Drosophila melanogaster: one gene and its partners. The protein of the gene in region 2 interacts with the protein of the main gene of each other region in a pairwise test. Each region holds a gene or a part of one and is shown on either strand. Other genes may lie near its edges. The genes, in order: CG13707, CG13171, CG1344 and CG31638.

The links.
Region 1: the proteins of CG13171 (region 2) and CG13707 interact in a two-hybrid assay, tested with the Drosophila melanogaster proteins (one large-scale study listed by BioGRID).
Region 3: the proteins of CG13171 (region 2) and CG1344 interact in a two-hybrid assay, tested with the Drosophila melanogaster proteins (one large-scale study listed by BioGRID).
Region 4: the proteins of CG13171 (region 2) and CG31638 interact in a two-hybrid assay, tested with the Drosophila melanogaster proteins (one large-scale study listed by BioGRID).

The regions. Positions count from the first base shown.
Region 1 is NT_037436.4:4,836,688-4,842,170, reverse strand, and holds CG13707 (uncharacterized protein), read left to right. Parts: upstream 1-2,062; 5' UTR 2,063-2,270; coding exon 2,271-2,393; exon of another isoform or gene 2,394-3,247; intron 3,248-3,332; exon of another isoform or gene 3,333-3,608; intron 3,609-3,723; coding exon 3,724-4,092; 3' UTR 4,093-4,380; downstream 4,381-5,483.
Region 2 is NT_033778.4:12,211,729-12,215,352, reverse strand, and holds CG13171 (uncharacterized protein), read right to left. Parts: upstream 1,344-3,624; 5' UTR 1,324-1,343; coding exon 1,003-1,323; 3' UTR 958-1,002; downstream 1-957.
Region 3 is NT_033778.4:5,651,090-5,657,278, reverse strand, and holds CG1344 (uncharacterized protein), read right to left. Parts: upstream 3,604-6,189; 5' UTR 3,573-3,603; coding exon 3,363-3,572; intron 3,311-3,362; coding exon 1,469-3,310; 3' UTR 501-1,468; downstream 1-500. Other genes in the region: Not3 (CCR4-NOT transcription complex subunit 3), read left to right, coding at 1-68.
Region 4 is NT_033779.5:6,488,774-6,497,421, reverse strand, and holds CG31638 (uncharacterized protein), read right to left. Parts: upstream 6,362-8,648; 5' UTR 6,188-6,361; coding exon 6,047-6,187; intron 5,988-6,046; coding exon 5,917-5,987; intron 5,855-5,916; coding exon 5,815-5,854; intron 5,739-5,814; coding exon 5,218-5,738; intron 5,163-5,217; coding exon 4,959-5,162; intron 4,903-4,958; coding exon 4,566-4,902; intron 4,449-4,565; exon of another isoform or gene 4,362-4,448; coding exon of another isoform or gene 3,568-4,361; intron 3,450-3,567; coding exon of another isoform or gene 2,984-3,449; exon of another isoform or gene 2,890-2,983; intron 2,485-2,889; coding exon 2,318-2,484; intron 2,179-2,317; coding exon 1,554-2,178; intron 1,366-1,553; coding exon 1,357-1,365; coding exon of another isoform or gene 1,302-1,356; 3' UTR 434-1,301; downstream 1-433. Other genes in the region: CG9550 (uncharacterized protein), read right to left, coding at 1-288; CG9547 (uncharacterized protein), read left to right, coding at 2,984-3,449, 3,568-4,361; Phf5a (PHD finger protein 5a), read left to right, coding at 6,665-6,716, 6,793-6,983, 7,049-7,134, 7,200-7,206; epsilonCOP (coat protein (coatomer) epsilon), read right to left, coding at 7,311-8,231.

The DNA of each region.
Region 1 (5,483 bases), on a different chromosome or scaffold from region 2:
TGCAATTTTCTCGCAACTCCAAAGAGGGATATGCGTGATGTGGACGTGGGCGACTTCTCGTGCGGTTCAATCAGCTGCAATCTGCTTCGTCAGGATCAGCATCACCACTGGACCACATGCTGGTGACAAGGGCAGATCCACATCCAAGGTCTGGACGGAACACCTGTGTCGACTGGGAGCTGAATCCCTCACAGGTGTCCTGGCCAAAACACGCTCTGCCTGCTGATGGCTGATTCTGACAAGCTCAATTAGGGCGGGAGCACTCTAACCGGATTGAAATCCGGATTGCGATTGGGTGGCGGTAGTCCGAGAACACTGTTTTCGGATATAATGGGGCAAAAAAGAAACCGTTTAAATTAATTGCAGTTTTAAGCAGATTGAAAGTTGTTAAACAGCGAGCCAACGAGCTTACAGTCCGCAGTTGGCTTCGAAGTTTTCCCACCCGCTGCACGCACATTGCACCGCACGCACACACACTGCGCTTAAGATGATAATCATGTTTACGTGGCGTAAGTTAAATTGCTAACGTAATGGACTAACAGCAGGTGAGGACGACTCGAGGATAGAAGGATTCACGGAGCAGGATCTGGTTCTGGGAACTCGAAGTGCATTGCGAAAAATGTATCCTGAATTAGTTTAGTTCGAATTGAAAATATGATATGCTTCACTTAAACTGTTAGGTAACTAAATTTAAATCGCAATAAAATATTTTAGAAAAATTATTACTATTACTTATATTTTATCCGCATTTTCTTGCAGTGCTCGAGCTGTTCTGGAGCAGTTCAGGTAGCTCATGCGTGCGCCGCTGTCAGCGGCACATTTTGGGCTCTTTCAAGTGGCCAACAACCGGGATGGCCCAGAAAGAGACCATTTGCTTGGTCGTGCCACCGGTTGGGGCAGGGATTGAATTGGAAGCTGGAAGGACGACGGATCGCAACGCTTCTGTGTGGTGTGCGCTTCATTGGACAACTGAATATGCAAATTGAATTGAGCGTATTATCGACAAGAAGGAGGCGGAGGAGCGTCGGCGAGGAGGGCGTGGCCCTTGCAGGTGAGCAGCCTCGACTTGGCCATCAACATAATCGCTCAAGCCAAGGGCTTTGGACGGGATTGCTATGGCAATGGCGATGGCGATGGCTATGACGTTGCCGAGATGGAATCGGTGCCCAGTGGGCCAAGATGGTGGCAAATGGTGCACAAAATTAAAATTTTAATGGCTAACTGCTGATGCTTGTTTGGCTTTCAGCAGAATGGGTTGTGGAAGGGAACTTCGATAAGGATGGTGATGGGGATGAAGCTGGGCCAAAGAAAAGCACGATTAAAGCCAAGTCAACGAGCAGCTCTAAAATCATTGCGGCTTGCATATGAATACGGGAAATGCTGCATACTTCGTGGCTACATTGGGAACTCAAGTGTTGCATACTATTACGATGGAAAAAATAGGGGAAAGAATGGTTGCATAATAACATTGCCTGCTACTAGGATGGCTCATAAATCTTTAATGCCTGTCTCGCTCCGCTTTGGGATAAAACGCGAGATGATGGAACCTCTTAAAAAAGCCTGTGTTCCAAGGTTTTACCCCACTTCGTAGCGTTTTATATTTTATGTCTAGTCCAAACCAAAAATTTAAAATAAGTAATGCCAATGTCAAAGACAAAAATGAATGTTTGTGGCTTCAAAATATATGTTCCATCGAATAAATTGTACAGCTGATATTTCGTTTTTCTATTGGTACCCTTCACCACCAAACACCGGAGACACCTCACTGGCCAGACACCACGGACCCAACGGACACAACGCACAGCCGGAAGCCAAATCCCGGGCTCCGAACCCTGGTACGTGGTCCGTGGTGCGGGATCCGTGGTTGTGGCCGCCGATTTTGAGATGTTTTTGAGTGGCTATGAGAAGTGGAACTGCACCAATTGTTCCTGCACTGCGAGTGTGTGTATGGGTATTGGTTGAGTGTGTGCCCACACAGATATACTCACACACTCAAGTGCCCGGCTGATTGACGCACGTAAACAATTTACTCATTGAAAGAAGAGGCTTCAGTCAACGGCGAGCGCTGTTCGCGAGCGGAATTCCGCGGCAACATGTAGAGCAGCAACAAAGGCAGCGAACGAAAAACTACAGAAAATAAATAAAAGGAAAACAACAAACACGAATTAGTGCTATATGTAAAAGTCCAAAAAACCACCCGAAAATTGGACAAGTGTCGCCGGCGGTGGGCAATCAAAAAATAAAACATTCAGGGCATCACAGATGCCGCGATGACGGAGCCAATTAGTGCGGCGGTGCAGCGGCGGAGGCAACTGCTCCGCAGCGTGGAAAGTTTGCGCGGTCGTGTTCGTCAAGTGCTAAAATGTGTTATTAATCTGCATATTGAGTTTTTGGTAATTGATCGACGAACCTCTTCCCTTTCTTTCCCTGTCCAAATTGTTTTTACCACACAAGCGTAATCCACTTGGCCGCAGAGTTACACTTTTGTTGCTGGTTTAAAGTGTTGCAAACACATTGACAGATTCTATATCTGGTATATATGTACAACTGTGCCTCTGTCTGTATAATCTCCTTCTTATCTGGCCTTTGTGCCACTTCTGTTATCGCTCCATCACTTTCGAAATATTATCTGTGCTTTCACAAACAATTCTGTTCATTTCGGCTTTCATTCTAAAAATAGCTCTTTTATTTGGATACAAAAATTAAATTGTAATGCATTAAGTAAGCTAGTAGCAGTAAAATTATCTTACCATTTTTACTAAATGCCGTCTTCAACTAGTCGTATACGTAATCTTCATAAAAGTAACGTCACATTTTTGCATGCTTTTCTTAATGAAAGCTTGTCAACAAACTCTTAGCATTTAGCTTAACAATGGTCAACCGACTATATCTCTTAACCCCTTTTAGCCATTGTAATTTGTTATCGCTATTTCTGCTGCCATTTCACCTGCTATCACCTGTTGTTCAACAATGCGCGACCGGCAACTCTGTTAACAGCTGCAGCAGCGATTTGGAACATGTTAATGCAATTATAGCCAGTTATTGGGAACGAAATGTTAGAATGTTGGACGGGTCAGAGAGGGTTGGGGGTGCGACGTGGGGGTAGTTGGGGACTGCAGTGATTACTAGCACCGCTAATTAGACAATGTCGGTTCGGCCATAGGCAAACGAACGGTTTCGCAATGCATGGCACAGTCATGGCCAGATGAATAAGTATAAAGTTATTTCCGCACAGGATGATTACCCGGTATTAATTGTCTAACTAAATATACAATCCAACTTCCCTAACTATTGTATTTTAACTACAATACATGGATAAACTATTTTTACAGCTTCTTCGTTTGATTTTAACTTTTGATAACTACCTTTTTGGTGTAGAGTGTTTGGGGTAGGGTTTACTTTTCACCCCTTCGAAACATGCACCCAACATGAGCTTAGTTGGCCGTGTTCCTAGGCTTGGCTAATTTGGCACTAATAGAGACGCTAGTGACGAGGCCTTTGGAAAGATATTAGAGCTGAAATCCGAGCCAACATCGCCGAATGAATGGCGCGAATAAGGGGGTCCGGAATGGCGACCTGGATGGGTGGATAGCTCAGCCGGCGGGAAAGTAAGGCTATCACTGACCGTAACGCCGTCACTGTCATTGTGTCATTGGATACCGCAGTGCAAATCGAGCAAAATAAGCGATTTCCCGCTAATCCAATTTCCACCTCACCTCGCAGGTGCTCGAATCCGATGTGGCAGCTTTGCTGGATGAGGTGCGCGAATTCAACGACGACCACGAGGAGATGCAGCGCCTGGACAGGATGATCGAGGCTCTGCGGGACTATAGCGGACCCACGATATGCCACGAGTGGCCCTATCCCCTTATCTTCAAAGGCACAATCGACGAGGCACATGTCGCACAAATACTCAATGCCAGCGAACTGGATTTGGATACGAAGTTGGTCAAGGTGTCCGGCGGAAGGAACTGCATCCATGTGGAATCCGATGTGGTCACAGCTCAAAGGCGCTCCAGATTGCTGTGGTTCTCCAGAAGAAGCAGGGGGAAACGAGCTGAGCGCTTAAAGGAACCTAATCCTGTAGTTTGAGCTTAGCTCTGAGATTGAAACTAGTCCGAAATGCATATGAACAAAGTATTGTAGCCCAAGCTATAATCTGCCATTACAAAAGAGCCGAACATATTTGAGTATAGTATAATTAAGAAAGACTGCGCTGAGATGTCATTAACCTCCTTTAATTGCAAATTATAAATTGACATCCTTAAGCACATAATTTTTGAAGAAGCATGACATGTTAAAAAAAAATATTTGAAATATCATATTCCATCTAAGTTAAGAACCTTGTGTGATTAATAAAACGATTTCACTTGAAAGTATATTTTCATTAAGCCAATTATTTAATTATCCCAACCGTCTCTCTAACTAAATACATCAGGGTAGCCATTAAATGACATACTTGGTTGGTAAATTGTTCATTTCTGGTTGTTTCATTTACTGCGGTCGCCTGCGAAGACAAAATTTCGATATTAGTCCCCACCGCAAACATCTTGTATTCATGATATTTGCGGTGGGGATGTACATTGATTTTGACAGAAAGCACATCGGCACAGCGGCAAATATCTGAGGTGAATATGACATTCGGGGATTCCCCGCTCCCAAATTGTAGTTTCCGTTTTCCACTGGTCAGCCGCAACAAGTTACCGCACCTAATTAAAACGATTTCACACGCAGCTTCTTAAAGGCTCGAAAGCAAAAGTGCAAACAACAAGTGCTTTTATGCGATGTTTTTATATTATACGCTGGCGCAGCTATATTAATTATAAATAAAACCAAAAGAGACAGGTCCAGAAACAATAATAAAACGCGTTTCACTTCCCATCAGCGAATGTGTGTGCGTATGTGGGTAAATTATTCATAACGGTATTATCAGCTTTTCTGCGCTCTGCTGTCTGATTAAATTGCTCGACCATCGCCGGGAAAAGTCCAAGGATGCCCGGGATGCTGGGTGAGTGGATAAGGTTGCGGGTTGGGCGAAAGTGGTGGACAGTTGGCAAGCTTTTCATGGGCACACGGGATCTACAGTGGATGGTAAAGTCTGGAATAGAATTACAAATAATATAAATAATTACTTGTATATGATAAGTGCTTCTTTTTCTATAAAACAATATAACTTTTTTAAATCAATTTAATATGTACTAATATGATAAATATCATTGGCCTTAGTTAAACTTATTGTAATGACTCAGACTGTGCCTAATAAGCGAGGTGTCCGTTTCTGTGTGGGTGTCCGTAAGCTGGCGCATTCTTTGTCTCTGTGTTGTGCGCGCAATTTATCAACTCGACCGGCTATCTTTGTCGCCCGTGTGCTGTCCTTGTCTCTCCCATGTTCCATGTTCTCTGACCCACACCCTCCCCCACCACCCCTTCGTCTGACCCATTCGGCCTGTGGTCAGGGACAATTGCAGCAGAGCGCTGTAATT
Region 2 (3,624 bases):
CGTACTTTATGATATAATTGGTCCGGACCATTTTATGACGTCTATAAACTTGGCCTACTCATAGGCACCTAAATCCTTTTACATTTTAGCAAACTAATATATGTGAAAACTTTCCCAATATTTCTGGCAAGGAACCCCTCTGGTACGCACCCATGTCCCTCTCGGTATGATGCACTGCTCTGTCGACGCTCTCCAGGAATAGCTTCCAGCTGGGGCACTAAAAGCAAATGAACTAGGGGGCCTGGTGGCTCTGCATGTAATTATTCTGTCATCCGAGGTGTGTCACCCGGATGGAGCACAGGAGGAGCACGAGGAGCAGTAGCCCGAGGAGTTACTTTGAAGGGGACTGGCCTGGAGGAATGGATGGAGGTATGGAGTGATGACAAAAGACAGGCGGCCAACTGGCCTTGCCCTCTGACCCGGAGCCTTGTTGTTTATGGCCACCCAGTGCTGTACATGCGGCGTAATTGCATTGTTGCCGTTGTAATTACAGGCAAACATGCAGTTAATTAAAATCATTAAAATGCCTTTGCCTTTTGCCATTGAGCCACTCAGAGGTGTAGGTGGTGTGTGTGAGTGTGAGGATGCCTAGAAGACAGCTGGGAGGAGCGACCTAATTTCCGGCGAAAGGGAAAGGATGTGCCTTTCCAACTGTCACAGCGTTGAGTGCAAATTATTTTGGATTTTTTTCCAGCGTGCCTGGCACAGACTTTTGTTTGAAACTCTGATGGCTGCCGCATGTCCTCGTCTGGCACGATTCCTTGGATTGATTTTGATTAATGCTCCGGCAGTCGCAAGTCGAGCAAATCATTTTCACGCTTGCCAAAACATTCCAAAGTGACAAGCTCGTGCAAAGTCAAGTGTATATATATTGCACACATACATATGTATGTACATAAGTGTGCGCATCAACGGACCAAAGCGTCAAGTGCAGACATAGCAACCGTGTGTCACCTTAAATTGTTAATTGTTTTCCCTCAAACTTTATTTCCACACGCTTCATCAGTCACGAAGTGAGGCCATCTCGAATGGCACCTCGTACGAGTCGTACACCACCAGATGAACCTTCTCCAACAGCGAAAGTCCCTTCAGTTGGACATTCCTTTCGCTCTGCAAGCACAGCAGACCCAGTTCCATGCGGCACTTGGAGCAGTGCAGATTCTGGAATCGCTCCCCATTTGTCTCCCTGATCCTGTCCTCTTGGATTAGGTTGAAGGTACGGCTCAGGAGCAAGTCGTAGGGCGTCTCATTCACTTTGGCTGACTTGTAGCTGACGATATTGCCACAATAACGACAGGCATAAGCAATTTTAAAGGCAGACATTTGAAATACGTACACATACTAGGTTCCTTGGGTGATAGAGAATGTGAACTGACTTACTGATATATATTAGTTGTTCCATTAAATAATTTCATAAATTCTAGACTAAAAAAGTAAGGAGCTATTATGTTATATTTATGGTGTTCTTTATGTGAAAAGCATACATTTCCTTTTATATCTAAGCCACTTTATAGATGATATAGCCAAATTTGACCACTTAGCAATGAAAGAACCTTGTGGGTATGTATGCGAAAACAGTTTCCAAAACGACATGAATTCACAAGCTGAAACTGAACTATTGATGGCCACTATTTGAGCCAAGTCGACCCATCATTAAGGACGAACAATCGAAGAGCGCATTAAGCATATTTGATGCTCGGCGGCAAAGTTGATTACAAACACAATGTGGTGTATTCATGGCTGGTCACGGCAGCATGTCCTGCAACCTGCATCCCCCCCCCCTTCCCTTCCTAGATAATTAATGAGTTTAGGCCGAGTCCTGGGATGGGGTTGTGTGCCCGGAGAGAAGTGTTGCCATCATCGTTTCATTTGTTTATGCGTCTGTTTGCAGCTGTTATTTTATTCAGGCTCTCTCGCCTTGAAGATAATTTGCGCACGTGCTTCAGATTTGGTAGGTGTGTGTGTGTGAGAGTGTCCTTGTTTCGCCGGAAACCGGAATGCGGTGGTGTGGGTGCACAGAAGGCACACGCACCTACTTTATGCTCGGATAATTGCGAGCATTTGTCTTGGGCGTACAGCCAAATCCGTATCCAAAAGCAAATTACGGATTCTCATTTCTAACTGGAGCCACAGCAACGGGGCCAATTAAAAATGTATGCTCCCTGAGTGCCAAAATGTGTTATGCGAATTCAATCAATAAATTTCAGCTGCTTTCATTTGATTTGATGGGTTTCCTTTTAGAATGCTTTTAATTACAGCAGTTCAAATTAATGGAGTATACAATATACAATAACATACAAAAGCAATAATACAAATTGATCTTCAGTCGGAATTATTAAATTAATTTAATATTAAACTAACCCATTTAATTAACACAGCTAGAAAATAAGTAATGTTTTAAATCAAAACTTTATGGCTGGAGAAGCAAGCAATTTCCGAAAATCTGATCGACTTAAATGGTTTTATTTTCGAGCGAATTTCAATTGGTGAAATACCGATCTGAAATTTTGTATCTCAACTACTGGGTTAAATTTGCAGTCACCCGAGAGCCAAAAGATTAAGCCAACTTTTTTATAAGTGGTCCAACTAGAACAACAAATTAATGAAAACTAAGTTGAACATTCTCAAGTTTTTCCCAACTTTTTCGCTCTCTTTCCCTCACCGCCCTCTCTCTCTCTCTCTTTCTGTTGCTTTTCGTCTTGTTTTCGGTCTTGTTGGAATAGACAGCTTTGGAAGACGACCATTTCCACCATTTTCCGACCTCCGACCGAAATTGATGAAAACGAAATTGATGTTGACTCCTGGGCGAAAGGGGATGGTGGATGGGGTAAAGAGGGGGTGTCTACGTCGATGCGGTCGGAGCTGCCTTTTTGGCCAAAAAACGTGGACTGGCAAAGGGAATGGGGAAAGCTTTTAGCAGATACTTTACGCAAATCCCATGGGAAAACATTGGCCCACTTTCTGCCACAGCGGCCCCATCATTAAAAGTTAAAAAGGATTTTCAACGGATTTACGAATTTCAAGCTGAGCCCGAAAGACAAACAAAGCCATCAATTTACATATGCGAGCAGGTCAGAGCTAAAAATTCGGAAATTCTCAAATTCTCAGCTCCCAGACGTCGCTCCCTCGGCAAGAAATGGAAATACTAAAATTCAAGAAACACAATTTAAGATGCAGCCAGCGTTTTGGTGGGCGACGAGAAAATGGGTGGTGCCTTCGTTCCACCAAAAAAAAAAAAACAAAGCCGAGCCAAGACTGTCAAGTAGTCGTCGTCCCGCATCCACTTACGCCAGTCCCAGTACCAGTCCCTCGTCCACATTCTCACCATCGTCCTCGGCCATTTCCACTCGTAGTCATCGTCGTCATCGCAAGGACCTTGAGTTGTGCCTTCCATGGCTTTTGCCTTTGTTGTGCTAAACTTGTGGATTAGCTAAATGCAGGCCGGGCATGCCACGGCATGCAGGCGGCTTCATTCCGGTAAGTCAACCCGGACAACAGAACCCCCCTCCCAGCCATCTTAGAACCCAGCCACCCATCCACGTCGCCATCTCCTCCAAGAGGACGCCCACTTAAACCTAAACATTTCGCCTTCTTGGGTTTTTATGAGCTGCTCATGTTGGCGTT
Region 3 (6,189 bases), 6.6 Mb from region 2:
GGAGTCAGCGAAAGAAGGAGGGATTCACCTTTGAATACAAGTACTTAGAGGACAAGGAGCTGAATTGAAAATGTTGCGATGTTTGTTGCTTCGTCTGTCTAAAAGAAAACCAATCCATTAAAATAATAAAATAAATCAATCCAATTTTCATAAAAAATCACACAATCATAACACAAATCAAAATCGAAAAGCGCGAGAAAGATCAACTAATGGAAATTTAAAAGAAAAAGCAAAACAGCCGTAACCATAAGTTAAAAGTAAAATGAAGTATATTTATTAGGAATGCATGTTTTTTAGCTTTACTCCTTTCGTTAATTTTACATTCTTGCAGAATTAATAAGGATGCTTACTTTTATACACATTTCGCTACGCTTTTTAATTCAAGTATTGCAATACAAATTAGTTTTCATTATCTTGGCCTTTAAAATTACATATAGGTGTTTTGTAAGGGCCACTGCGATTTTTACTGACGTCACAAATATATTAGTCGTCTACCGTCTTTGATGAGTACGTAAATCAGCAGCAACATGTCTGCGAAGAGTAAGAAATCACAGAGGGCTTTCAAAAACAATCTCATATAACCTGTATTCTATGGGTCCTTGGTAAAAAGTTGAAAGATTTAAAAGAAACATTGGTCCTGATTTGTATGCGATTAAATTAACACAGCAATAACAGATTGTTTGTCATATTCATACCCGAGGCTGTATGAGAAAGCTATTAACATGAAGCAAAGGAAATAGGTATAACCTGATCATACTATAATTGAAATTTAATCATTTTTGGTCCCATTTTGTTACGTAAAATTTCCAAGGCTTTTGGAGGGCAAGTCTTGTTTAAATGTATGAACACAGAATAAAGACGATTGAATAGTTGAAATTAATATTATTTTAATTTGGTGGGTATATTCCTATATATCCTTGCAGAGGGTTCATTTTAATTTTAATCAAAAGTAACAACGCAGAGAAATTGGACCCTATAAATTAGCACTAATTAAATTACTAGTACATTTATCCATTTCATTTTCATCCGTTTCTACGCAAGTTTAAATTACGATTACAATTCTATTACTAAGTCTTAATCAAAAACAAAAATACCGAGGTGTCGATTTTTTATAATACAAAAGTAAGCAAGCATTTATTTGTTAGGACAAAAAAAGGAACAAACAAGAGAAAACTTTACAGTCTAGTTCTCCGACTACCCATTACAATCAGCTGGTGGGAGTGCGAACGAGAAACGTACGTGGGCGTGGCAGTTGTAGGTCTGCGCTATTTTTGTCACATTTACGGCAAGTACGACAAAAACAAAGAAAATGTTGAAAAAATTCAATTAGTTTTTTTTTTTTTTTTTTTGCATATACACAGAGTATGTTAGGTATTTTTAAAAACATCTCCAAAGTTTCCTGATACAATTTAATTACATTTATGGCTTTTATTGTTTAGCTAACAGTAAAAAATACCTCGATTTTGTATTAAAGCGTTGATACATTCGTCACGCCCCAGACAATATCGTCCTTATCATCCTGTTCATCATGACCCCAACCCTGATCGGCACACAGCTCATTACAGTTCACGGCTGACGCAGCAGCAGCAAAACGGCTGCTTATTTGCTCCGGTGTCTCACAGGTACTAGTCCGGATTTCGATGATCGGTTCCATATCTTTGAAGAAATCAAATTCGTTGAACTCAGACCTTTGAATCACCGTTTGCACTTTTATGTCCAGCTCACTGAGATCATCGATAACTTTCTGTTCTGTCTGGGATATTGTCTCGTTTACTCCAACTGATAAATTACATTTTCCAGTGCGATATGAGGGCGATAAAGATTTGCCAGTTTGGATCTCTCTAGCAAATGAATTACTGTTTGTTTCAGAGTCGGTTACAGCGTGATCCACTTGGTAGCCCTGTTGAAGGTGGTCTGTATTGTCCCAATCAAGCCAAGTCCCCTCCTCATCAATGTTGGCCACTCTTTCATGCTCTGTGCCAGATATATACGAGTCCTTCTCGGGGTCTATATTATGTTTTATACTTATGGATTTTTCATTTGAATTTAACCGAAGTTTCTCGTCCTCCCCACCGTCCGGGCTAAGGCGAATAGATAAAGGTGAGGCATTGCTTTCTTGTGGCAATGGGCTCCCAGAAACCATAAAGTCTTCTACGTCGAAGGATCTAGTATTCATTAAAGGACTAATAGACCGCGGTTCGGGATAAGGATTGTTGCTGTCTCTGGAAACAGCAGCGTGTGGACGGCCATCAGAAAAACATCGTGCACGATCACCGCCCAAAACTTTGTTAGCTCCTAATATGGAAACTAAATCAGCCATGCACCTTAGTGTTTTGCCTACCAAGACGTCGTTAGTATCGTTCATACCAAGCTGTAAATGAGGAAGAATTTCGCTCTCTAGTTGCTCATCGCTTAAGAGACGAACATAGTCCATAAAATAGTCAAGAAGTATTAATCGAATCTGTGCATCACGCAAGCGGAACATCTTGAGTATGTGTGGCATTAAGTATTGTACGTAGATTTGCGGAGAAAATAGCGATGCCGGTGCTTTATCAGTAACTTTTGTACGGAGTATATGCGGAGTCACAAATTCTTGTGCAGCAGGATCCAGCAGAACCATTCTAGAGAGTAAGTCACATGCCAGCTGCGAAGCCACTACTTCCTCGTCGAAATATCGCAATCGATCAATCAAACTTCTAAAGAATTTGTGGCGCTCGTGCACTGACTTCAGTGGCAACTCAAAGAGAAAGGAATGTATAAGCACGAATTCATGGTTGAAGTATGGATGTAGCAAGATAGCAGAAAGTCTTGGCCTTAGCTTTGTATTTTGATGCTTTAGGTGTGTGCTGCAATACTCACGGAACTCATGAACGTGTGGAGTGCTATCAGTAATACAACTATCAGTTCCTTTCCTGCTTAGCACTTTCTCGCACAAAATGGAGAAGAAAAATTGTTCGAAGTTCTCTCCGTGAATAGTCAAGTCTATAAAAGAATGTGCCAAGTCGAGCAGTTGTTTGTTGACATCCGTGGCCCTCCAAACGTACTCGAAGCCAGCGAGGCGCCAGCTTCCACTCTCCGTTACGTAAATAGACTGCGTGTTAATATTTAAGTGCCGAGCCAGGGCCTTCTCAACCAAAAATATTAGAGCGCATAAAATGGTTCGCAGCCCTAGGCAGACTTCAATGTCAGTCTGCTGGGCCAGCACCTCATCTAGAGGTCTGACTCTCTCTGTAGCAAGATACTTCCGTCCCGACTTCTCCCAGGTAGCTATATATTTTAAGATGTACGGGTGGCGGTAGACCATCAGGTTCTAGGGGAAAACATTTGGTAAACAGTTGATTTCTTTAACCCTACAAGTATACTTTTATTGCTCTTTCAATCGGGCCCACTCCATTTGACCATACATGTGCCTTGACAAAGACTTTTCCTTCGAATACGGAGAGCATCTGGCTGCAACGTTCATCGTTGGTTGTCTCTGGCGTCTTAGCGTTATAAACTGTCCAAAATTGATTAGTCTCCACCGCATTTTCCTCAACAAGTATTCCTTTTAGTTTGCTGCCTTCATTGCCCATAGCTCTAGATGCTGTTATCTACTACGAAGCGCTTAAATTTATTTCTTATTTCGGGCACATAATTTATTGCAATAATAGCATGTTCAGACAGGGTTGCGTCTACACTAACAGTTGAAAACAATGTTCGAAAAAAGGGAACAAGGAATTCATTTATACATAGATATATCTATATCAACTTCGTATGGTCAAAAAACCCCATTTACACATTGAATTCTATTTGAATATCATTATTTGTATAGCCTTTATACACATAGTGAGTATAAGAACCTGTTTAGCAATGAAAATAGCTAAAATAAACTTCATATATATAAAACATAAAAAACATGTTTCGTTATTCAAAGAGATTTTAAAATTAAAGCGAATGGTTAATTATAGGTCATATTTTCACACTTTTCAGTCCCTAATTTTGTTTCTCCCAAAACATCTTTTTTAAGTGTTGTTTAAGAACCTGGGCATGCCCGTCTGTATGTCCATCCGTATAAACGTCGAGATCCCGGGAACTATAAAGCTAGATTAAGCATACACATTGCAGCGCAAATTAGTTGACCCATTTAACACCCAAAATATATGCCGCCAAGAAGTTCAAATTTCAGTTGAGCTCGTACCCTTTCAGTCACCGATCGTGGAATGGATTCCCGACTAAACTCACCTATGGAAGGTAGCTGTAGAGCACGCTAAGATGATAAATTATTGTTAAACTCACTTAAATAGGATGGTAATCGTATAATGAATGTGTTTTTAAGTATGAGTGTACACGAGGGTTACCAAATAATTCAACGACCTAAACCACAATGGCAGTAATTGAAAAAACATGCTTAGCATGTGAAAACTGCATCACATTATTCAACACATTATAAACTTTTTCATTTTTGTCTTTTTGTTTGCTCATGTTTCGGTCACACTGGACGTACGTGAAAACAAGTGACAATCTTTTGTTTTTCACATTTTGTTTTTGTATATATTTTGAAAAAATACATAAAACTAATAAGTGTAACATAAAGTCGTGTACATATAAATGTTTTAAAAACTTGTTTGCCACTCGAAAAATTCACGCAATATATCAAATGGATCGGTTTTAAATTACTTTACATCAGTTGTAATGCAAAATTATTAGCGAAAAGTAAAAAAATACGCCTCCCCTTTGTGCAGAAATTGGTGTGTGATCTTATCTAGGACGAATTTATAAAAGCAACATACAAGGTTCGAAGGTGAGTTAGCATGTCCTTGTTGAGTTGATGTGGTGCTGAATATGAACAAATCAACACATTAAATATATGTCTAGGAAAAGACTGAACAAATTCAATTCTAATAATAGAAAGCCAGCTTTAAATTAGTTAACAAACATGACATAGATAGCCTTTTATAATCGGTACACCATTAGTAGCGTGTTACTACATATGTCAATAGCCCAAGCCTAATCGTAATGAGTCCTATCGTAATCTTTCCAGTGTGGTTGATTAATAATAAAATCGTTCTTAAATTAATAGCTAAGTTCTATTTGACACAAAGATCGACTTGCATATCAATTTTCATTGAAGTTTTGACAATTTTATATTAATTACCGTCTTTGGAAACATACATATTGTTGATGTAACATGTAGAAAAATTGTCGAGATCACTAACGGGATCATTTTAGCCATGTGCATATCTCTTATTCTATCGGAGCTGTTACCCAATCTATGCATTTTCCGGGCAGAAGTGCCCATCTTATACCCTTATAAAAGGTATATTGATTTCAGTTATATGTTTAAAACGCAATCAATGAGACATTTTTACTTACATATGTACGCATGTACGTTGATGAAATCAGCGGATAACGGCTAAATAGCGCGTGCTGCCCCAGTTTCACAACAAGATGGAACGCAATAGTCAAGTATCTGGAGTGTAGAATATTCGTTTCTTGCTAGTGAGAGTGCCAGGGAATTTCTAAATTCTTTTAAGCAACAAGAGAGATTGTTATATTCGACTTCCCAGACTATAAGATAGCCGTTACTCACCTCAAAGTTTTAATGAGAAATTTCTATATTTTTTGGAATGTTAGTAGAAATAATAGAATAAAAAAAAATTAATAAATGATTCAAAAATGGGGTCGTGACAGTTTTGTGCTGCTTGTGGGCGTGGAAACATGGGTTAACAACCTTGGCCTGCGTATATGTCTCTAGAATCTGTATGCTTAATCTCATCCATCTAGCTGTTCCCGAGACGGATTAGACAGACGTCCAGATGGACATTGCCAGATCGACTCGGCTATTGATCCTGAACAAGAATATATATACTTTATATATACTTTATATGGTCGAAAACGCTTCTTTCAACCTTATACATAATTTTCAACGAGTACCAGTATAGTAATAAAAAATAGACGGGAACCCATAGTGGATTCCTCGACTATCAAGAGAGATAAATATTTATATGCAACAATTTAAGAAGTAAAGCTTTTCTCGATATTATGTTCCACTAGTAACCTATTGGTGATTTCATTTATTGTAATTCTAATTTGAGGGACATTTTTTATATGAGAGACAGAAAACACCATGATTGAAAGTCTTGAGTGGGTGTTATCGGTGGTACCCCGTGTTTATAGGTTGTCGGACATGCTGTTCTGAACCAGTTCTAC
Region 4 (8,648 bases), on a different chromosome or scaffold from region 2:
AGCGTAGTGCTGATAGCAGCCCGGCTGATGGGCCAGGTTGTCCAGCAGGGTGAGGGCACCCGATCCCCGGAATGTGACCAGCATTGAGCGGATTGGCTGGCCGCCGGCATCCAGAGTGAGGTTTCTGATGTCGCCCAAGTGGCTGGTGCTGTAGGAGACCAGTGAACGTTGCAGTGTCACCGGATCCGGCATCAGCATGGGCAAAAGGAAGAATATGAAGAGTACGTAGGTCGTATAGACGCCCACGCAAGCGACGGTTAATTTTGAAGTACGCGAAAGTGAAACCATGACTGAAATTTTAAGTTTATTCCAATTTTCCCACTCTTCCAATTTTGTATAATGTCTGAACGATTGAAGTTTGAAGATCTGACAGAAGGTACTGTGCTTCCACGAAGACGATCAAAAAGCAGGACAGGATTTGCAAGAAGGGTTTATCTTGTAACATGCTACCTTTATTGGCATATCATTTGTATTTTATATATAATTTTAATAGTTAATAAATTGTTATTTATCAATAACTAAAATACTAATATTGCTATGTTATAATACGTAAATATTTTGAGTTCCGATTTGTTTAATGTGTATATATATTTTTTTGTAAAAGATCAACTATGCCGCTGAATATCGATAGACTTTTGAAAAACTAAAAGAATTTCGGACTAGGCAACTGCAAAAATATCGAAATATGTAGTGAGAATTACTTGTATAATTTCCAATAATGTCGATTAATAAATAGCAGCATTTCTATCAATGCTTTCCTAAATCTCATACAATTTCTTTAGATTTCTGGCACTAAATGCTATTCCGCAAACATCGAACCTGTATTATGCTTCAATACGTATATATGTCGGTATATCTGTTATTAAGTCTGTTCATTTTTAGTAAAGGCAAGGGTTTCCGATGAGGATGCAAGGATGTGAAGGAGAAATCCTCCTAACAACCGTCTTAGCTGCGGGTTAAGCTCATAAGAATATGGCCAGCTAGATGAGTTTCAAACGTTATCCTTAAATTACTTGGAATATTGAAGTTATGAAAGTGGCTAACTGGTGATCTGATGATTGGAATTAGTCGCGAAATTAAGAATATCTTAGTTTATAAGTAAGTATTTGTTCATGAACAATCGTTCTGCAATAGTTATGCTTATAAAAAAAACTGGGGCACCGGTTGGTAAAAGGCCCAAATATAAACTAGGAATGCGCATTATATTTGGGACTGTTGTCCAACCAACTTTAAAGTACTTGCGAATTAATACTTAAGGTTAATACCATTAATGTCTCTCAAATGTCTTTTGTCTGGTTATCCTAGTCGCTGTTACCCTCCGTCTCGTCGTCCAGCAGCAAGCTTGTCGAACCATAGCTACGGAGTCTGAAATTTAAATCACAAATAGTTATTATATTTACCTAGAATTATACATTGATTAGTAAAACCAATACATGCAGTAAAAGGATTAGTGATGCTAAAACAAATCAAACCAATAATGTGATGAACACAATAACTAACAAAGCATTAGTTTACTCAAGTGATAACAATCGTTTCTGCTCCTCTAATCTCACCTCATCGTCGGACACCTTGAGACCATCTAGATTAATGCTGTTTCTCGCATATCCAGCGCCTGCAGACTGCTCCTTCTCGTACAGCTGTCGGTTTAGCTCATCCTTACTGGAAACGGAGCTGCTGCCTCCATTTGTGGTTCCCTTCAGGGGCAGCGCTAGATTCGCTCGACTGGCACTGCTGCCTGCGCTGCCATAACGTCCGTTTCCGGATCGCTGCCTCTGGTGATGATGATGGTGCTGTCCGTGAGGATTATCGAATTTCTGCTTGGCCCGCTCGAACTCCAGATTCCGTGACTTCGACTCAAATATATTCTCCTCCAGATGCGTGGGCTTGGCATCAAAAAAAGCAGCTGCTGCCGCTGCCGCCGCCGCTGCAGATGCCGCAGCACTACTCTGCTGCTGCTGCAGGAGCGTTCGTTCCGTGTGACTAGATCTCTTTACGGAAGCAGCATGATGCATAGCGGCATCGCTGCCATTGTGGGAGCTCCTCAAACCTGCCTGCGAGTCATCAAAGATCTGGCGAAGATCATTGATATTCGGCAGACAGTCGTTGGGCAGCTCCACGGCAATCTTATTCCTCAATTGCACCCCGCCCATGCCCCGCAGCTGGGGACTGGGAGCACGTCTTTTTCGTTGGGTTAAGCGTGGGTTAGGAGTTAGGTTATTAGTCAAGCCAGCACCAGTTGAAAAGTTAGTGGTTATTAGAGTTAGTCCACAGACTTAGCGGTATGCAAATCTAAATGTTTCTTTCGAACTGATCTTACCTATTCTGGAGGTGCTGAATCTGCACCTGTAATCCTTCCGTCTGACCCACCAGCTCATCGTTGGAACGCTGCAAGCGGCGCACTTGGTTAACGGCCGAATCCAGTTCGTCCTCAGCACCAGCTAACTCCCGCTTCAGCTCCTCCACACGCTGACGCAGACGCTTCACCTGCAGGAAAATAGAGAAAAGTAGTGATGTAGCTACATATGTGGATTCAGATTGGTATATTACATATTTGTTCTGAACGCATAAGATGCATCTGTACCCAAAACTCGAAGCACAAAGAGCAAGGGGGCGTGCCTTCCAGTCTTCAAACACAACTGATAAGCAGACGACCCCCGCCAAGTGGTGATAACGCTTAAAATGGAAAAATATTTCCTTCCACACTCGCTTCACTCTTGGTTTCTATCGTCAAGTGAAATATAAGCGCGATAGTGCGAAAAATTTAGAACCCGCAGATTAAGATCGGGCATAACAACAATATTAAAGCGAGGTAAACAAAGTTGGCGAAGAAGAGCGAAGAGAGCGCGCGAAGAGCGGGCAGCCAAAAGCTCTCGCTGTAGATTTAAGCTTTCTTCAGTCTCTCGCCGAACGTCGAATCGAGCAGCTGTTCCGTGGAGAACCGGCTGATCACTTCCAACAGAAAAGACAGAACCGAATCGGAATTATGATTGCGCAAAGTGTAATCAGCAAACTGCGACCGTGTGCCCGCCGCTTGGCCAGCACGAGCTCCAAAGCCGCAGCTCCCAAATTCAACTGGCAGGATCCGCTGAATTTGGAGAGCCAATTGACCGAGGAAGAGGTGGCCATTCGGGATGCGTTCCGTGGATACTGTCAGGCCGAGCTGCAGCCGCGCGTCAAGATGGCCAATCGCCTGGAGACGTTCGACAAGAAAATTATGGAGGAGATCGGCAGTCTGGGTGTCCTCGGCTGCACCATTAAGGGATACGGCTGCGCCGGAGTCTCTAGCGTTGCCTACGGCTTGCTCACCCGCGAGGTGGAGCGCGTGGACTCCGCTTATCGGTCTGCTGTCAGTGTCCAGAGCTCGCTGGCCATGGGCGCCATCTACGACTTTGGATCCGAGGAGCAGAAGCAACGCTATTTGCCCAGCATGGCGGAGGGCAAGCTGATTGGTGAGTGCCAAATGAATAAAATCATATTTTAATGAAATATTGAGTGAATTATATAAAGTCCCGTAGTTTATATGTGTTCTCTTTAAACGAATCTCAATTTCTTTACATATTTATTCAGGTGCCTTTGGCCTAACTGAACCCAACCACGGTAGTGACCCCGCTGGCATGGAGACCCGTGCCAAGTACGATAGCAAAAGCAAGACATACATCCTGAACGGATCTAAGACGTGGATTACTAGTGCGCCCATCGCAGACGTCATAGTCGTATGGGCAAAATGCGAGGATGGCAAGGTACGCGGCTTCCTGGTGGATCGCAAGATATCCGGCAAGGGTTTGGAGACGCCAAAGATCGAGGGCAAGTTCTCTCTGCGTGCTTCGCCCACGGGTATGATCCTGATGGACGAGGTCCGTGTGCCAGAGGAGCAGTTGCTACCCAATGTGGCCGGCTTTAGTGGACCCTTCAGCTGTCTGAACAACGCTCGCTATGGAATCGCGTGGGGAGCCCTGGGAGCAGCTGAAACCTGCGTGGAGATTGCTCGCCAGTATACACTGGATCGCAAACAATTCGGTCGTCCTTTGGCTGCAAATCAGTTGATCCAAAAGAAGCTGGCCGATGCCATCACAGAGATTGCGTTGGGTCTGCAGGCTTGCCTGCATGTGGGTCGCCTCAAGGATCAGAAGCTGCACACGCCCGACATGATTTCCCTTCTAAAGCGAAACAATACTGGCAAATCGCTTGATATAGCGCGCCAAATGAGGGACATGCTGGGTGCAAACGGAATCAGCGACGAATATCATGTGATCCGCCATGTAATCAACCTGGAGTCAGTTAACACCTATGAGGGCACGCACGATATACACGCGTTGATCCTGGGCCGAGCCATCACCGGACTGGCGGCATTTGCTAACTAATGTACTTGTTTCGAAAATCATAAAGTACTGCATTTACCAATTTGTTTTATGTCGAAGTGTCAATGTGAATAAATGTTAATCAAACCGAATTCGGTTCGGCGAGGAAGGCTGTTACATCTTTAAGTTTTCCTAGGCTGATAAGCTGATACGCGTAATCTGATCCATATATCATCTGATAAGATTTTTGGATGTGGATTTACTCACCTCCGCCTCATACTGCTCGGCTCGCCGCACGGCGTGTCCCAGCTCTGTGTTTGTTTCGGCCAGCAACTTCTTTAGCTTGGCGTGCGACATCTTCACCTCGCTGATCTCCTTGTTGCGCTCCGAAAGTTCCTGCTGCAATGCTCGCAGCTCCACGTCATTAGCTTGCATGGGTCGGCACTTACGGTCCGAACGTTCCTGATAATCTCGCAGTTCTGCGCGCAGTTTCTTGTTGTCACGCTCCATGGCCAATTTCTCGGACTCCAGTCGCTCGCGCTTGCCCCATTCGGAGGCGTTCTCCGCCTGAAGGTGCTCCAGTTCAGTGCGAAGCTCCGTGAGGCTGCAATGAATCGATAGTTACACTCTTGTCAAAGTACAGAATGCGTATTTGCTTACCGGCGCTCGAGATTCTCACGGGCAGCAATCTCCTCCTGCAGCGAGTTATTCACGATACGCATCTCAGCACGATGTTGTTCTTGAAGAGTTAATAGTTCACGCACTGCCTCCTGCTTGGCCGAGCGCATCTCCTCTTGACGTCCGCGCACGTCCTGGATCTCCAGCGTCAGTTTCTCAATGCTCTTGTGCAGCTCCAGCTTTTCGCTGCGAAAATAATAGAAATAATTAAAGTATTATTATTGGAATAGAGATTACTCACTCCCTTTCCGCTTGAAGAGTTTTCTGAGCCTCGTCGAGGCGCAATTGCAGCATGGATATCTTTTGCAGCAAGTAGTCTTCGTCAAAGTCATCCTTTGACAATTGCTGAATCAGGCGCTTCTCCTCGGCAGCCGCCGCTTCGTCCAACTCGGTCAGATGTTTGGGCATAGCCCCCTTCATAGCGAACTCCTCAATGTCTAGATCCTTGACATCATTGGGCAGCTTGGTAACCAAGCCGTCCTCGCTATTGATATTCTTTAAGCCATCCGAGGAGATATCCGGCGAGCAGTTGGCATCCCGTCCGTTGGCCTCCGCATCCTCGCTGGTGTCGGCTCGATGGAACTGACCGGCGTGCTTCATCATCAGCGTGTGCACTTTCTCCATCTCCTTCTTTAGCTGCGTGATCTGCAACTCGAGATCGTTCTTCTCCCGCTTCAGCGAGTGGGCCTCCTTCATGACGCCGTCCAGTTTGAGGCTCAGCTGCTTGGACTCCTCTCTGGCCTTATTCCGCTCGTTGCGGACCTGCGAAAAGTGAAAAGTTTTGTTATTGGATACCGGCGATATTGACCCAACTTTAAAGCCATGGCAACCAAATTACCTTACTCCACTTCTCCCGCCAGTTGGCAGTGCAGTCGGACCTGGGAATGGTTGATGTTTGGATTAGCAGATAGTTTTGAGCACGACGAGCTGCTCCACTTACCACCACTTCATGGTTTTCTCCATCTGCGCCGCCCGTGCTCGAGCTTCGTGCAGTTCCCTCTGCCGCTGGGACTGAATAGAAAATGGGAGTTTATGGGAAATGATATAAAGCATCACACTCCGATACGCACCTCCCGAGCCTCCCATTCTGTTTCTCCATATCTAGCCGACATGGTGGTCCCGATGACGCCCACGCCGCCCACTTCATTGCGTCTGCTGCCACCCGCCGGTGCAGCGGTTACACTTTGCGTTGTGGATGCTGTCTGCGACATTTTGCTGGTGTCCTTTCTCAAGTCCTGCTTGCTGCCCTAAGTACCACACAACTACCTAGCTGATCTGTTGCATCGTGGGAGTGTTTTTGCAATATTTTGGACCAAAGCTTAATGCGAATACAGAAAATAAAATTCGAGAATGCGAACAGCTGTTGTTGTTTACTAGTCGCTGTGAATGGCCAAACTGCATGGTGTAGGGCTGCCAGTTGCTTTTGAAAGTTATTTAATTTCAGTTAATTGTTAAAAAATATTATTTGTATCTATATTGTATTATCAAATGTGGTAAATAATATTTTTAAAAAAAAATTAATTTTTTCTTTATTCAAGCCATCATAGAGTTTAATGAATGCCCTACATGATAATGCTGACCACTTGGCAACCCTGAAAGCGAGAGTGTGTAAAGGTCACACTATAAAGAAGTCGCCGCTTTTTCAGCAACTGTTTTTATATTTGCTGACTGAAAACTAATATTAAATCATGGCCAAACATCATCCGGATTTGATTTTCTGCCGCAAGCAGCCCGGCGTGGGTGAGTTCTCAAAAAAACCCGTTGAAAATCCCAGACAATCCAATAATTCGAAATCTCTCGCCATCTCATGCGGCAGCCATTGGACGCCTGTGTGAAAAAGACGATGGAAAGTGTGTGATCTGCGACTCCTACGTGCGGCCATGCACACTGGTGCGGATCTGCGACGAGTGCAACTACGGATCCTACCAGGGCAGGTGCGTCATCTGTGGAGGACCCGGAGTGTCGGATGCCTACTACTGCAAGTCCTGCACCATTCAGGAAAAGGACGTGAGTTCGCAAGTCATGCATTCTGGTGCATTCTGTGGTATTATTGTCCATTTTGGTTCTTATAGCGCGACGGATGCCCCAAGATTGTAAATCTAGGCAGCTCCAAGACTGACCTGTTCTACGAACGCAAGAAATATGGCTTCAAACAGAAGTGAGTACCCAGCACAGCAGTCAAACATAAAAAATCCACCCTAATACTTTGTATTATCTTTACAGCTATTAATCTGCTCTCCGCTACCTCAATACATTTCTAATAAATTTTTATTGTAGTTTAATACATGAACAAAAGGTTTTGTTAATTTGGATATTTGGAATTTTTTCTTATATCTAGACGGCGAGCAGTTTTTCACCGCCCTCGACGTCGTACTGCAGGCACAGGCGGTCGAACTCCGCTGACTTCTTGTCTAGATCGGTGACAAAGTCGCTCTTGGGATAGAACTGCCTCAGCTGTTCTAGATTCCGGGTGATCGCCTCTGTCGGCTTGCCCGTAAGATGGGCATGAACCATCAGATTGATCAGCGTGTCGTAGTCGTTGTGCTTCTTCAGCAGAGATTCACGCAGAACGGAATCTGCCTCCTCGTACCGCTCCAGACCCAAATGAACGACCGCTTGGCCGTTCAGCAGCGCCGGAGTTGGCTTGAACTTTTCACAGAACTCCTGGTAGATGTGAAAGGCGTCCTGCATCTGTTCCGTTCCCTGGGCGAGGGCCACCCACGCCTGAGCGAGCTGAGTCAGCGTAGCATCGTCGCTGATCTCCTGCATCTTGGCCACCAGCTGCTTGGCCAGGTCCACGCGCTGCAGACGCAGCAGGCACTGGACCGACAGAGCCATCGACTCCAGATTGGTGGAGCCGTGCAGGATCTTCAGTGCGTTCTCGAACTGCCCGTCGTGGCAGTAGACGATGGCGGTTGCAAGGTGCCAGATGTTGGTCTCATCCTCCTCTCCGGCCACCTTGTCCGTGAGTTTCTCCAGCAGCTCCTCCGTCCTCGAAGGCTGCTCAAAGGCTTCGTGCACCAGACGCAAGGCCTGCAGTGGCGTGGAGTTTCCCTCCTTGATGTCCGAGGCCACGATGCGCCCGGAATCGATGGCCAAGTAAGATAGGTACATGTAGGACAGGAGCTCCGGACCCGCGGTACCCTGCTCCGGCAGCACGAAGTTGATCGAGCCCATGAAGTTACCGATGTAGTACTCGTTGCGGGCATCGAATAGCACCGAGTTGGTGTCCTCCTCATTCTGCTGTCGGCTCATTTTCGTAAATATTATTGAATTAGATGGAAAAACCGAATTCTTTTCGGCTGAGTTGGCTTATTTGTGTAAACTTATCGGTGCCTATCGTACATCGATACCAGATACGTTGTTATCGTCGAGTTGTCACAGAGTGACCATTGCATATAATTTCACATATTGCATCTGGCAACGCTCTTTTTTGCTAAAAATGTTGTTTTTCAATAGTTTTTTTATTTTTAAACTCTTTTTTAGCCTCAAGAATTTTTTACATCCCTTTTTATATAGTAAAAACGTAGTAAAATTGCAAAAATGTAAGGTTTTGTTCTTAAGATTTAATCTTGATAACTGATTTGAAATCTCTAAAAATAAGTTCACTTAATCATTTAGACCCTGGGATTAGTGTTGCAAAACACCATCTCCTGCAACAATTCCAGATCC